Linked DNA regions of Oryctolagus cuniculus. The protein of the gene in region 1 interacts with the protein of each later gene in a pairwise test. Links are inferred from orthologs where the notes say so. Each region holds a gene or a part of one and is shown in the gene's direction. Other genes may lie near its edges.

Evidence for each region.
Region 2: the proteins of IPO13 (region 1) and PAX6 interact in a two-hybrid assay, tested with the Homo sapiens proteins (2 studies listed by BioGRID and IntAct). The link is inferred for Oryctolagus cuniculus from reciprocal best matches to the Homo sapiens genes IPO13 and PAX6.
Region 3: the proteins of IPO13 (region 1) and PITX1 interact in binary tests that used the Homo sapiens proteins (3 or more experiments, as listed by UniProt). The link is inferred for Oryctolagus cuniculus from reciprocal best matches to the Homo sapiens genes IPO13 and PITX1.

What each region holds. Positions count from the first base shown.
Region 1 is NC_091438.1:129,090,365-129,094,219, reverse strand, and holds the end of IPO13 (importin-13), read left to right. Parts: coding exon 1-1; intron 2-2,143; coding exon 2,144-2,210; intron 2,211-2,298; coding exon 2,299-2,357; intron 2,358-2,498; coding exon 2,499-2,588; intron 2,589-2,905; coding exon 2,906-3,087; intron 3,088-3,174; coding exon 3,175-3,271; 3' UTR 3,272-3,342; downstream 3,343-3,855. UniProt on the Homo sapiens protein: Functions in nuclear protein import as nuclear transport receptor. Serves as receptor for nuclear localization signals (NLS) in cargo substrates.
Region 2 is NC_091432.1:34,187,385-34,190,989, forward strand, and holds the end of PAX6 (paired box protein Pax-6), read left to right. Parts: intron 1-1,778; coding exon 1,779-1,929; intron 1,930-2,969; coding exon 2,970-3,055; 3' UTR 3,056-3,124; downstream 3,125-3,605. UniProt on the Homo sapiens protein: Transcription factor with important functions in the development of the eye, nose, central nervous system and pancreas. Required for the differentiation of pancreatic islet alpha cells.
Region 3 is NC_091437.1:23,204,642-23,208,991, reverse strand, and holds the start of PITX1 (pituitary homeobox 1), read left to right. Parts: upstream 1-1,509; 5' UTR 1,510-1,832; intron 1,833-2,125; 5' UTR 2,126-2,338; intron 2,339-4,350. UniProt on the Homo sapiens protein: Sequence-specific transcription factor that binds gene promoters and activates their transcription. May play a role in the development of anterior structures, and in particular, the brain and facies and in specifying the identity or structure of hindlimb.

The sequences.
Region 1 (3,855 bases):
GGTGTGTTTTAGTTTTATTCATTCACGTTCTGTTCTCTCTCTTTCTCTTTCTCTTATGTTGAAATTCAATTTAAGCCTATTTTTAGCTTTCTGTTGACAAGTTTTTTTTTTCTGTTCAGTTGAATAGAGTTTCTTCATCTGTTTCCGTGGAAGTTGACAACCCAGCATCCTCCTTTAGAGCCCCTTTGCCTCAACTAGCAGAGTCTCCCACAAAGACCAGGGAGAGGCTGATCCGAAGGGAGGGAGCTGGGCTGGCCTGGGGCACTGGGGAAGGACGGGGGCGCTAACTGTGCCCAGCAGCTCCTGAGTGGCTGACTTGCCCAAGAAGCTCAGGGTAGGGCTGGAGTCGAAGGGCCTGGGGTTCACTGTCCCCGTGCTCCTGCCGGGAACTGCCTGCCTCAGTGCCCTCAGCCTGCTCCTGAGAAGTAGGCTGGGAGCAGCTCCAAGAGGAGGGGCTGACAATGAGTGTGCAAGGCAGAGCCCAGGGTCGGGCCATGGGGAGGTTGTGCTGCAGCCGGGTGGAGCGGAGGGGCGCAGACTCTACAGCGAGCCCACGCTAGGATGTGTTTGCGATTGGTATGTGTTTAAGCATGTTGCACCCTCTTGTATGTTTTGAGTTTGGTTTGGGAAAGGAGCAGAAATCAGCTGGTGCTGCTGTGAGTCTGTGCGTGTTGCGTAGGGTGTTGGGGTAAGTGTGTTAAGTGTGTTCGCTGACACGTGTGGGTGTGTGGGGCTGTGGGGGAGGATGAGGAGTGTGTGGTGGCATTGGTATGTCTAGAGTACAAATGTGTTGGGCTCCTGGGTGTGTGGAGTTAGTGTGGTGGGGTTCTGTGTGTTAGGGAGTCCCAGTGGGTTGTGGGGTGGGGTGAGGGGCCCTGTGAGTTGGGGTAAATGGAGTGCTTCTTTGCTTAATCATTCCATAGATATTCTGAATGTGTCATCCATGCTTGGCACTAGGCCAGGTGCTGCTGAGGGTGTAAGGGTGAGCTAAAGCAGGCACGGTCCTTGGTCTCTCGAACCTAGAGTCTAGTTGGGAGGGGCAGGAGGCATGAGGAATGAGGCCTGGATGGATGTGTGTGTGTGTGTATGTGTGTGTGTGTGGCAGCTGCAAGGGTGTGCCTTGAGTGTGCATTTCTGGATGGGTGTGTTGGAAGGGTGTCCATGTACTGGAGGACTGTGGGTAGGTTGAAGGTGTGGGTGTATTGACACAGTTTGGGGATGTAGGATGCTAGGGTGCATGGCGAGTGTGTGTGGTCAACATGGGAAAGTGTGTGTTAGAGGTGCCTTTCAGGTGGGGTGCATGTCGGGGTATTGGCACCTGAGTAAACATGGAGGGTAGAAGGTATACGAGGGGCTGGAGGGTGTGCGCTGGGCTGTTGCTGGGGAGCAGCAGGGTTCGAGGACTGCTGCTGCAGCTGTGCGGAGCATCTCCTGTGACCTGAGGATGTGCCACTCATGTCCTGGTACCACTTGGGCCAGGCCACCTGCCCCTTCACCCCGTTCGCTCCACACCCTCCACTCTGTGGTAGCCCTGGCTCCTGGGGTGGGTATGGCTGAGAGGAGCCTGGACACAGGATGTCCTGGGGGAAAGGTGGGGCCGGGGCTCCAGGGCTCCTGTCCGGCTTTTCCTCTCCCTGAGAGGAGCTGGAGGGTGCCTGAGGACTGCAGGCAGAATACAGGAGGAGGGCTGTCGGGCCGAGATCTCCATGTCCAGCTGCCACTTCTCCTTCCTGCTGCCCTGTCCACACACCCAGGGGCCTTAGCTGCCTCTTGAATCAAAGTGAAGTCAGTGCTGGCTACCTGGAGCCTGCAGGAAGTCTGGCCCTGATAGAGGGGGAGAAGGAAGGTGTTTGCTCAGGGAGTGACTTGGGGCCCAGACTTTCTGCGTTATGCTCCCCGATCTCCAACCTCTCTCACACACACACCTGTGCATTCAGGTACACATACTTGTCTCTAGATCCCTTGGGCTGCTCTTTGACCAGCTGGACTCTGGGGGTGGTCTGGGTCCCCCAGAGTTGGCGGGGTGGCTGGTTTTGGCGGCCTTTACCTGTGGTGTGGAGTTGGGGGCTGGGGTGGCAGGTGAGTGGGGGGGATGGTCCTTGGAGCTGGCTGGGGCTGGGCTTACCAGCTCCACCTCCTGCAGGCTCTGAAGCGGAAGCCAGATTTGTTCCTGTGTGAACGATTGGATGTCAAAGCTGTGTTCCAGTGTGGTAAGTGGGGCCGGGAGGACAGGTGGGCCTGGGGCTCCCCTCGGAGGATCCTTAGGCCCCACCTGATCTGCCTCTTCCTCTCCTGCAGCTGTGCTGGCCCTCAAGTTTCCCGAGGCACCTACTGTCAAGGCCTCCTGTGGCTTCTTTGTGAGTTGCAAGCAGACCCCTGACTCCTCACCACCTCTGTGGCCTGCCCTGCCCGGGACTCAGCGGTCGACGTTTGCAGGTCCAGTCCTCAGGGAGAGGCGGGAAGGAGCTGGGGCTGATGGGTCTCTCTGTCCTCTGCAGACAGAGCTGCTGCCTCGGTGTGGGGAAGTAGAATCCGTGGGGAAAGTGGTGCAGGAGGACGGCCGTATGCTGCTCATAGCAGTGCTGGAGGTGAACGGGGGCAGGTGGATGTTTGATCAGGGCAGGGTGGGGTGGGGAGAGGGGTTGGCTCTTACTGCTGGGGCAGCTGGCTTTCTGGGAATCGTAAACCTGTAGGTCCCTAAGCTCTTGGACTCTGTTTCTTCCTCAATTAAATGGCTGGCAGTTATCAAGGCTGCTGTGAGGATCAGCTGGCTCTCCAGAAGCAGCGCTCACTTGTGATGTGCGGTGTGGCTCAGGAACTATTCTGGAGGGCCCGGGGGCATGGTTAGGCCTCCTTGCTGCGGAAGGGACAAGGCCCCAGTGTGCTGAGAACCCCTCTCCCTCAGGCCATCGGGGGCCAGGCCTCCCGCAGCCTCATGGACTGCTTTGCCGACATCCTGTTTGCCCTGAACAAGCACTGCTTCAGCCTCCTGAGCATGTGGATCAAGGAGGCACTGCAGCCCCCTGGCTTTCCCTCTGCCCGCCTCAGCCCGGAACAGAAGGACACCTTCAGCCAGCAGATCCTTCGGTGAGCGGAGCTGGGGTGGGCCTGGGTGTGGGTGGGGAAGAGGCGGTGGGCGGTGCTCACCTGCTCTCCTCTCCCTCCCTCCCTCAGCGAGCGAGTGAACAAGAGGCGAGTGAAGGAGATGGTGAAGGAGTTCACACTGCTGTGCCGGGGGCTGCATGGCACAGACTACACAGCTGACTACTGAGCGGTGCCCCCTTCCCACCCACCTCTTCACCTCACCCCTCCCTATGCCCAAAGAGTAAATGTGGACCCTCACTGCTGCCTCTGCTTCCTTCCTGCTGCCGCCATCATGTAAAGAGAAGCCTGGGCCCAGAAGGACTGAGGGCAAGACGGGAGGATGTTGGGCCCAGGCGTTGGGAGGGAGTGCCCGAGAGGAAGTGAGGTGTGTGCTCACCCTCTAGTTCCTAGGGCACAGGAGGTACTGCTGTAGCCAAGCCGTTGCCCTTGGGGTGAGATGTGGAGGGGAGAGGCTGTGGTATTACCAGCCACCCCCCAACATCCATTTGGCTAGTCCCAAGGCACATGCGTGGATATGTTTATTTAATCAACAGTGCTGAGTACTAGACCCCTAGCTGTGTCCTGTACAAAAGCTGACGTAGTCCGTGATCACCATAGTAAGCTGGGAGAATGGTGAGAGAAGGGCTGCATGGAGGAAGTTTCATTTCTGGTGGGAATAGAAGTCTTCCTAGATCCATTCTTGAAGAATTGGGCTGGAAGTGGGTGGCTCTGTGTCCAGTTGGGAGGGGAGAAACAGAGTGGGGCTTTGAG
Region 2 (3,605 bases), on another chromosome or scaffold:
TGATGTTCTTCACTGGGTACACGAGCCTGCTCTGAATTCTGACCCAAGAATTTATCAGCCCTTGCATTGCTAGGTCTTGTGCTAGGTACACCCTGTATAATGTAAGTTGTGTAAGGCAGATGCGATGCGGTATACGAGACCTTTGTTGCGAGATGGAATCTTGATGGGAAAACAGTCCATCTTGTGGTGGGCTGTGCTAAGATTCCTGTTTGTGCAACAATTAGAGATGCCGGCTGGTGTGACATTGGCCAGCATGAGCCCCTGCTGGAAACAGTGCTGGGGTTACACAGATTGTTTATTCTCCACTGAACATCTTTTGCTGGATTTCAAGTCCCAATAACAGCAAGATGAATGTTTCCCAGTCTTCAGACTAATACGGGGCAACTGGATAAGCATCTTCAGAAAATTATTCACGTGTTTATTTTTATTGCATCTGGATATTATTGGCCATAGTGCAATTGATGCAAATTAAGGGATTAGCAGTCCATTAGTTGGTGTTGCTATAGCTGCCTTGGAATTTTCCAGAAGTCAGGTTGCCTAGAGGAAGTGATTGCAGGAATTAGAAACAAATGCAAGCTGAAATTCTGACAGGGCCCTCAAGGCCTGTTTGCCTCTTTGAACTTGATGTTAGCAGTCGTCATCAGACTTTAATAAGGCCAGCGTGTCTTGTTCAGTTTTACATATTGTAACAACATGCAGGTTTCCCTGAAGCTGACAGAATGTGTATATGACATAGCAATTACAAACAAATAAATGTGGCCCCTCTGTTAGGGTTGTTTCCACATAGAGACTGGTGTGTGGAGGTGATTTATTTCAAATACAGACTTTAAAACTCTGCACAACTGATATAATTTAAAAGGCACATACATTCCTAAAACATAAAGAAAATAAAAGCAGTGACTTTAGTTTTTAAGAAAACTTCTCAATGCATTTTGGAGTGGGCGGGGCATTGGGTCCGTCCATCTGTTGATCCTGTTAAACAGAAACTTCAATGATTTTGCACAGGGCGGGTGTTGTCCTCTGAACTCTCCTCTCACGATCTCTGAGAATGTGGATCTGGGCACGTTAAGCATTTCTCCGGTTTCCGAAGCAGAGCAGGACCATCTTCTCCCTTGTTCTTGGGATCAAGATCCCCAGTTTGCTGCCCCAGTACAGACCCATGGGAGCTCAAGACAAGTTTTGTCCCAGCTTTGCGTAGTTAGTTAGAGGGTAGCAACCCAATTCAATGGATGAAACTCAATCGGAGCTTTTGGGCCTGTTGGGAAGTCCCAGCTAATTCTTGGGACTGGGTGAGATAATACATACTGCCGTTCTGACCACCTGGACCTGAGATCATTGTGAATCTGCATTGTCACAGGATATTTAATCCCGAGTCAAGCTATGAAAGGTTCCCAAGGCGGGACACCAAACTTCACAGAGAGCGCCTCCCTGCCCCTAAGCTGGAGATAGGGGTTTGGGGGTCATAGAATTCCCCTAATACAGATGGATTTGCAAGGAGAGGTGATGTGTTGATGGAAGTCCTTATGCTACAGTTTTCTGAAGATGCCAGCACACAGCAAGATGAAAATAGACCAAAAACATCTATTGTCAACCGTCTAGCTGGCCAGTTGTCTGAATTTACAGAGCTTTAGAAGCTTGAGGCGTAGCCAAGTTGGAGGCTTCGTCTCAGATTTTTCGTATGGAATGTTCCAGCTCTTGACATGAAGGGATCCTTAAGCCTGGGAATGTGGCTGTGTGCTATGTTTCTCAGTGACCACAGTTTGCCTTTCTCCTTGCAGCCCCCAGTCCCCAGCCAGACCTCCTCGTACTCCTGCATGCTGCCCACCAGCCCGTCAGTGAATGGGCGGAGTTACGATACCTACACTCCCCCACATATGCAGACACACATGAACAGTCAGCCAATGGGCACCTCGGGCACCACTTCAACAGGTGAGCTACTCCTCGCTGCAGCCCGCACACAGGGGGCTTCTACAGCTGCTTTTGCCAGGTCATCTCCTTTTTTTTTTTTTTTTTTTTTTTGGACAGATAGAGTGGACAGTGAGAGAGAGACAGAGAGAAAGGTCTTCCTTTTGCCGTTGGTTCACCCTCCAATGGCCACCGCGGCCGGCGCGCTGCAGCCAACGCACCCCACTGATCCGATGGCAGGAGCCAGGTGCTTCTCCTGGTCTCCCATGGGGTGCAGGGCCCAAGCACTTGGGCCATCCTCCACTGCACTCCCTGGCCACAGCAGAGAGCTGGCCTGGAAGAGGGGCAACCGGGAAAGAATCCGGCACCCCGACTGGGACTAGAACCCGGTGTGCCGGTGCCGCTAGGTGGAGGATTAGCCTATTGAGCTGCGGCGCCGGCCTAGGTCATCTCCTTTTAACCAAAGTTTGTCTTTAAAAAAAAAAATAACCTCTTAACCCTGTGAGGGTTTGTTGAACACTTTGCTGCCCTTGTCTCCAGGGAAAATGGCAAAGGTGAATCCAGTTAAGCTAGCTGTAGGTTGATGCTTTATAGGCCAAAATGATGTTTTTCTTGACAGAGCCTGAGACTAGGCTTTCTGAGGACAGATGATTGGCCAGAGTTTAACACGAGAACCCAGCCAGCAGCTGGGTTGAAACTTCTTGGCCTCTTTACTCCTCAGTTCTTTCTGGAGGAGAGACTTGGAATTCAATAGGTCCATCTGAAGGTACTTGAAATTTTTTTAGAAAAATGGAATGAAAAGGTAAGTTTATTTTGGTGCAAAGAAATCTTGAAATCTATGCACTTTTGGTAGGACACATTTTTCCTGAACTTTTTGAAGTATGCTCATGTAAACAGATGTCCAGTTTTGCAGGTGCTTTTTTTTTTTTTGACATATTTTTAATTTAGTGAAAAAATTGTTGGGACATTTGACAGATTCTTCTTTTTTTTAACTGATAAATTCATATCCATACCTGTCTCTCAAAGGGAATATCTACATGGCTATTTCTTTCATCCATTTCTAGGACTCATTTCTCCTGGTGTGTCAGTTCCAGTTCAAGTTCCCGGAAGTGAACCTGATATGTCTCAATATTGGCCAAGATTACAGTAAAAAAAAAAAAAAAGGAAATATTGTGATAACGCAGTCAGTGACTATGTGGACACGACAGTTGGGAGTTCAGGAAAGGAAAATGGCTGTTAGAAGCACTTGGGTTCTGCATCCGGGTCCTGTGTCATACCCCTGGGGAAATGGACTTGAAACAAGGACCTTTGCATACACAAGGCACGATATCAGTTGGAACAAATCTTCATTTTGGTATCCAAACTTTTATTCATTTTGGTGTATTATTTGTAAATGGGCATTTGTATGTTAATAATGAAAAGAAAAAAAAAAAAAGAACAATGTAGCCTGGATGGATGTTTGATCTGTGTTGGTCATGAAGTTGTTTAAAAAAAAAAAAAGGAAACCATGATCAACAAATTTTTTTTTTCCACGAATTTAAGTTTTATCAAGATATATCGAATACTTCTACCCATCTGTTCATAGTTTATGGACTGATGTTCCAAGTTTGTATCATTCCTTTGCATATAATTAAACCTGGAACAACATGCACTAGATTTATGTAAGAAATATCTGTTGGTTTTCCAAAGGTTGTTAACAG
Region 3 (4,350 bases), on another chromosome or scaffold:
CAGGGGAAGGAGACAAGTCCATTCCATCAGAAGAGGGGTCCCTTCCTACCTGACCAGCCAGCACAGCCACCCTGGGGAAGAAGGAAGCAAAAACAAGAGTCAAGCCACCTGGCAGGTGCCTGTGCCCCTTAGCCCAGCTCCACCTGGGGCCAGCCCCTCGGTTCCATCATCTTGTCTGTGTCTCAAAGAAGGGGATCCCCTGCTCGCCCCATTTACAGATGAGGAAGCTGAGGCTGGGTGAGGCTCTCTGACTTGCCCAGAGCCACACAGCCAGTCCAAGACGCAAAGATCCCAGCTCAGGCCATCAGGTGCCAGAGGCAGGATTTCTTTGCAACCACAGAAGATTCCTTGGGAACAAGAGCAGGCAGAGAATCTCTCTCTTTCTTTCTCTCTCTCTCTCTCTCTCTCTCTCTCTCACACACACACACACACACACACACACACACACAGAGGCACCCGCTGGAAACAAAACCTGGAAAACTGTTAGTGTGCAGGGGTGGGTGAGTCAAAGCCAACCCAGCCAGGCGCCTGTGCAGCCCTCTGTAGGGGGGCACCAGTGGTTGCCTCCATTAAGCCCAAAGATGCCCGAAAGCTCCAGGTCAGAAGCGCCCTGGCTTAGCAGCTCTGGGCAGGGCCACCACCAGGCCACTTTCACTCATAAAACATGGGGGGAGGGGGGTAAGAGAAGGGGGAGGCTGGAATCCCCATGGCGCAGGGCGGTCAGCAGGCTGCACGTGCGCGGGGCAGTCCCTGGGCCAGGTCTGCAAGAAAGGCGCCAGAGACTGGTCCCTTAACCCTTAACGACCCTGTGTGCCCCGAAAGCCCACTGGCTTCCTAAAGCGGTCCCCACTGTTGAGGGTTGCCGGGAGGGACAACGCCACTCCCCTCCAACGGCACGACAGGCTGCAGGGACCCAGGCGAGCTCGGGTCGGCTTTCACCTTCGGAGGTCGGGGCGCGGGTCCTGGGTCGGCTGCCCGGGCCAGGCTGCCCCGGAGGCGCGGATGAGCAAGGAGACAGGGCGGGCGCGGGGCCGTGCGGTCTCTCTCACGGCAGCTGTCGGCGAGCACCAGGCGGCGGGGAGGCACCGCCGCGGACTGCACCTCATGAAACATTCATGCCCGCCGCCTCGCTGCCCTCTCCCGGAACCTTGCGCCCTGGCCGCGGCCCCGGAGCCCGCGGCCGTCGGCGGGCAGGCTGGCCGCTCTGCTCCCCGAGAGTGGCAGGCCACAGCCCGCCTCGCTGTCCCATCCCACAGCCCCCCGCAGCTGCAGGCGCAGACTCGGCGCTTTAGGGAAGCAGGTTCGGCCAACTGGTTTCCCCAACGAGGCTCCGGATGAGTGGCGACGCGGGGGAAGCCGGTGGTCGCGAATGTGAGAAGGGTCGGCTCCCACTTCCCGCTCGGTCCTGCCCATCTCCCAGCGGCCGCCAGCCAGGAACAGGCCTAGGGACCACATGGGTCGAGGCCTCCCGGCCCAAGGATGATCGCTAGAGGGTGTGCAGGCGCGGGCACTGGACAAGAGGCCATGAGCGCCTGAACTCGTGCACTCGGCGCCTTCTTTCCTCCACAGCCCAGGCCCTGAGGAGGGGGCCGGCTGCCCCTCCCCGCACCCCCGTCACACACACCGAAAGCCTGATCTGTCCTCAAACCTCGGTGGCCAACAAGCTCTGCGCAGCGACTCTTCGCTGCCAATAACTTGCAAACCCAGCTGGACCCGCAGGCTGGGCAGAAAGGGGCAAGGTCGACTCTCCAAACCCCAGCTTGGCTGGAACCTGGCCGGACCCCGGGAAACTCCAGCCGGACCCACGCTAGGCCCAGCCCCTCACGTGCCAGGTGGGAAACTGAGCCCCGGAGAGAATGCGCGTCGGGGCTGGGCTGGGATCCACAGCGGCCTCGTCCGCCTGAGGCCGGGCCTCTCCGCAGCGCGCGCAGTCCCCCGGCGCTCCTCGGACTGCTGCCCCGGCCGGCCGCTAGCCGCACGGACCTCAGCCCGCGCCCGGAGGGAGGCCGGGACCCCTGGCCCGTGGGACAGCGCGCCGCCCCCTCCCCGCCGGTCCCGGCCGGCGCCTTCCCCTCCCCCCCCCCCATTCCCGCCTCCCCGGCCCGTGTCCCCGCCTTCCCCGCAGGCGACGGGCGGCGGCGGCAGGAGGAGCGGGTCGAGCCGAGGCAGCCCCGACCTTGCGCGCTGGGATGTAGCGAACCAGCCGGGGCCGAGGCAGCGCGCACAGCTGGAGACAGAGCTGGATCCGGGGCCCCGGCCGGAGCCGAAACCTGAGCCAGAGTCCGCGGCGGGCGAGCCCAGAGCCGCTGAGCCGCCGACGCAGCGCTGCCCGGGTTGGGTAAGAAACGCCGGGCTCTAGGGGCGCGGGGTCTCCGCGGTGGAGGGGCGTGCGGAGGTGGCGGCCGAGTCCTGCGCTCTTTGATCCCGGCGAGCACGGGGTGCAGCCGGCGGTGCGGAAGGTGCGCGACGCTCGGAAGGTCGGGCGCCCTCGAGGCAGCGCGAGGAGCGCGTTCCTAGCCCGGTGCATGGCCGCAGCTGCCGTCACCCGGAGCCACCTCACCTAAACAGGGAGCTCACCTTGCGCCTCGGCCCCGGGGCATCCCAAGAGGGCAGCAGCCTCGGGGGCGCGGGCCCGGGCCCCACGACGGGCGCAGCCCTGGAATCCTTCGCAGTCCTTTGCGGCGGCGCGGCGCATAGGGGGCCTCGGGGAGCCGAGGGCAGGCGAGAGGGCGGCCCGGCACTCCGGCTGCGTCCGGGGATGGGGGCCCCAACAGCGGCGGAAGTGCTGGCCCCTCTGCGCGGCTCGGGACTTCTGCCGCGGCTTCGCGTCAAGAGGGTATTTGTCCTAAACGAAACCGCTTCGTTCGTTCGCTCGTTCGGGCAGCGATGCCGCACAACAGCAGCAGACCTCGGCCAGAGCCCGGCTCTCTTCGCCCCGGACCCCGACGCCCGCCGCAGCGCGGGACGGTGCGCCCAGCCCACGGCGGCCTGCCCTCGCCCGCTCGGGTCGGGCTTCACTCTCCCCTGGGAACCCCAGATGCCCTTCACAGAGTCTAATAAAGACATTCCCGCGGCTTCTCCCGGGCTTCGTGGTTAAGGCAAGGTCCCCGCATACCCAGCTGCTGCTCTCGAACGGGGTCTCCGCACGCTGACGGAGACCAGCCCCCGAACAATTCCGCGGCGGCCACACAGAGCCCTGAGGCCGGGAGCGCGGCATTGGGCGCCCCAGGCTGAAACTGCAGCCCCAGAATTTTCTGATTTAGGAATTCTCTGAATCTAAAAATATGCGAGCCCCTTTTTCGGAGAAAACGAAGGCTTGGGTGTTCTCTTGGATTCCCAGTGGGTTCTGAGATCCCACAGGGCCAGAGGGAGGAAACCAGTTTGCTGTCTAGTTGCTGAAAAGGCAGCGCTAGGGCAATGGCGAGGTCCAGCCAGAGCGCAAAGCTGCAGGCAGGAGAGGCACTGGAGAGAACCTGCCCTGTCCCCTGTCCTTTCCCCCTGGCTGCTGGGGGGCTTGGGAGAGAAACAGAGGTGGGCTGGGGCGGGGAGATGCAGAGGCCACAAGGGCTGACCCGGGAGGAGGAGACCCTCCAAGGGCCCTTCTCCCAGGAAAGAAGCTGCCTGTCGTGTGACCCTGGGCTGCCACCCTCCTGGGCTCTCTCCCCTCCAGCACAGCCATTCTCAGGAACCAGATAGTGTCCTGTGGACATGGGGTGAGCAGTGGACCAGGAAGACCTATGGGCCCTGCCAGCGGCTCACAGAGCAGGGGAAAGCACAGAGTCCCCAGCTCCCAGCCCTCGGGCTGTGCCCTGTGGCAGTCACCCTGCTGGAGCCCAGACTGGGAACCCCGAGGGGCGTGAAGCCTCGGACTGGGGCCCTCAGCAGCCTGAAGAGCCCGCTGGGGTTATTCCAGCATCTGCCAGAGCACCCCTGCTCCCCGTCGCCCGGTAACAGCTTGTATTCTGGAAACAAGAGCTTTTATTGGGGAGGGGGCGTTAGATCAGGCACAAGGAGGTAGGTGGTCCCCGCTGTACTCCCAAAACTGGGTTTTCTAGTTTGAACTTCTCCACGGCCTAAGAGGCTTAGGACTGGAATGTCCCGGAGAGTCATGGATGGCCCCGGGGGCAGGCCATGGCACATTCCTTCCTTTTTCCTAAAATCCCTTGGTCCTGGGAGCAAGGATTAGAGTAGGTACCCCCATGGGTGGGGAGCAGGGTGCCCCCATGAGGACCTTCCAATGATCCTTCCCAAATTAAATGACTAAGCCACACTTAGGCACCGCGTCCATTTTCGAGCGAGCCCAGCTTTTCAGAATGGGCCCCTGTGACTCCCTGAACCCCAACGATGGCC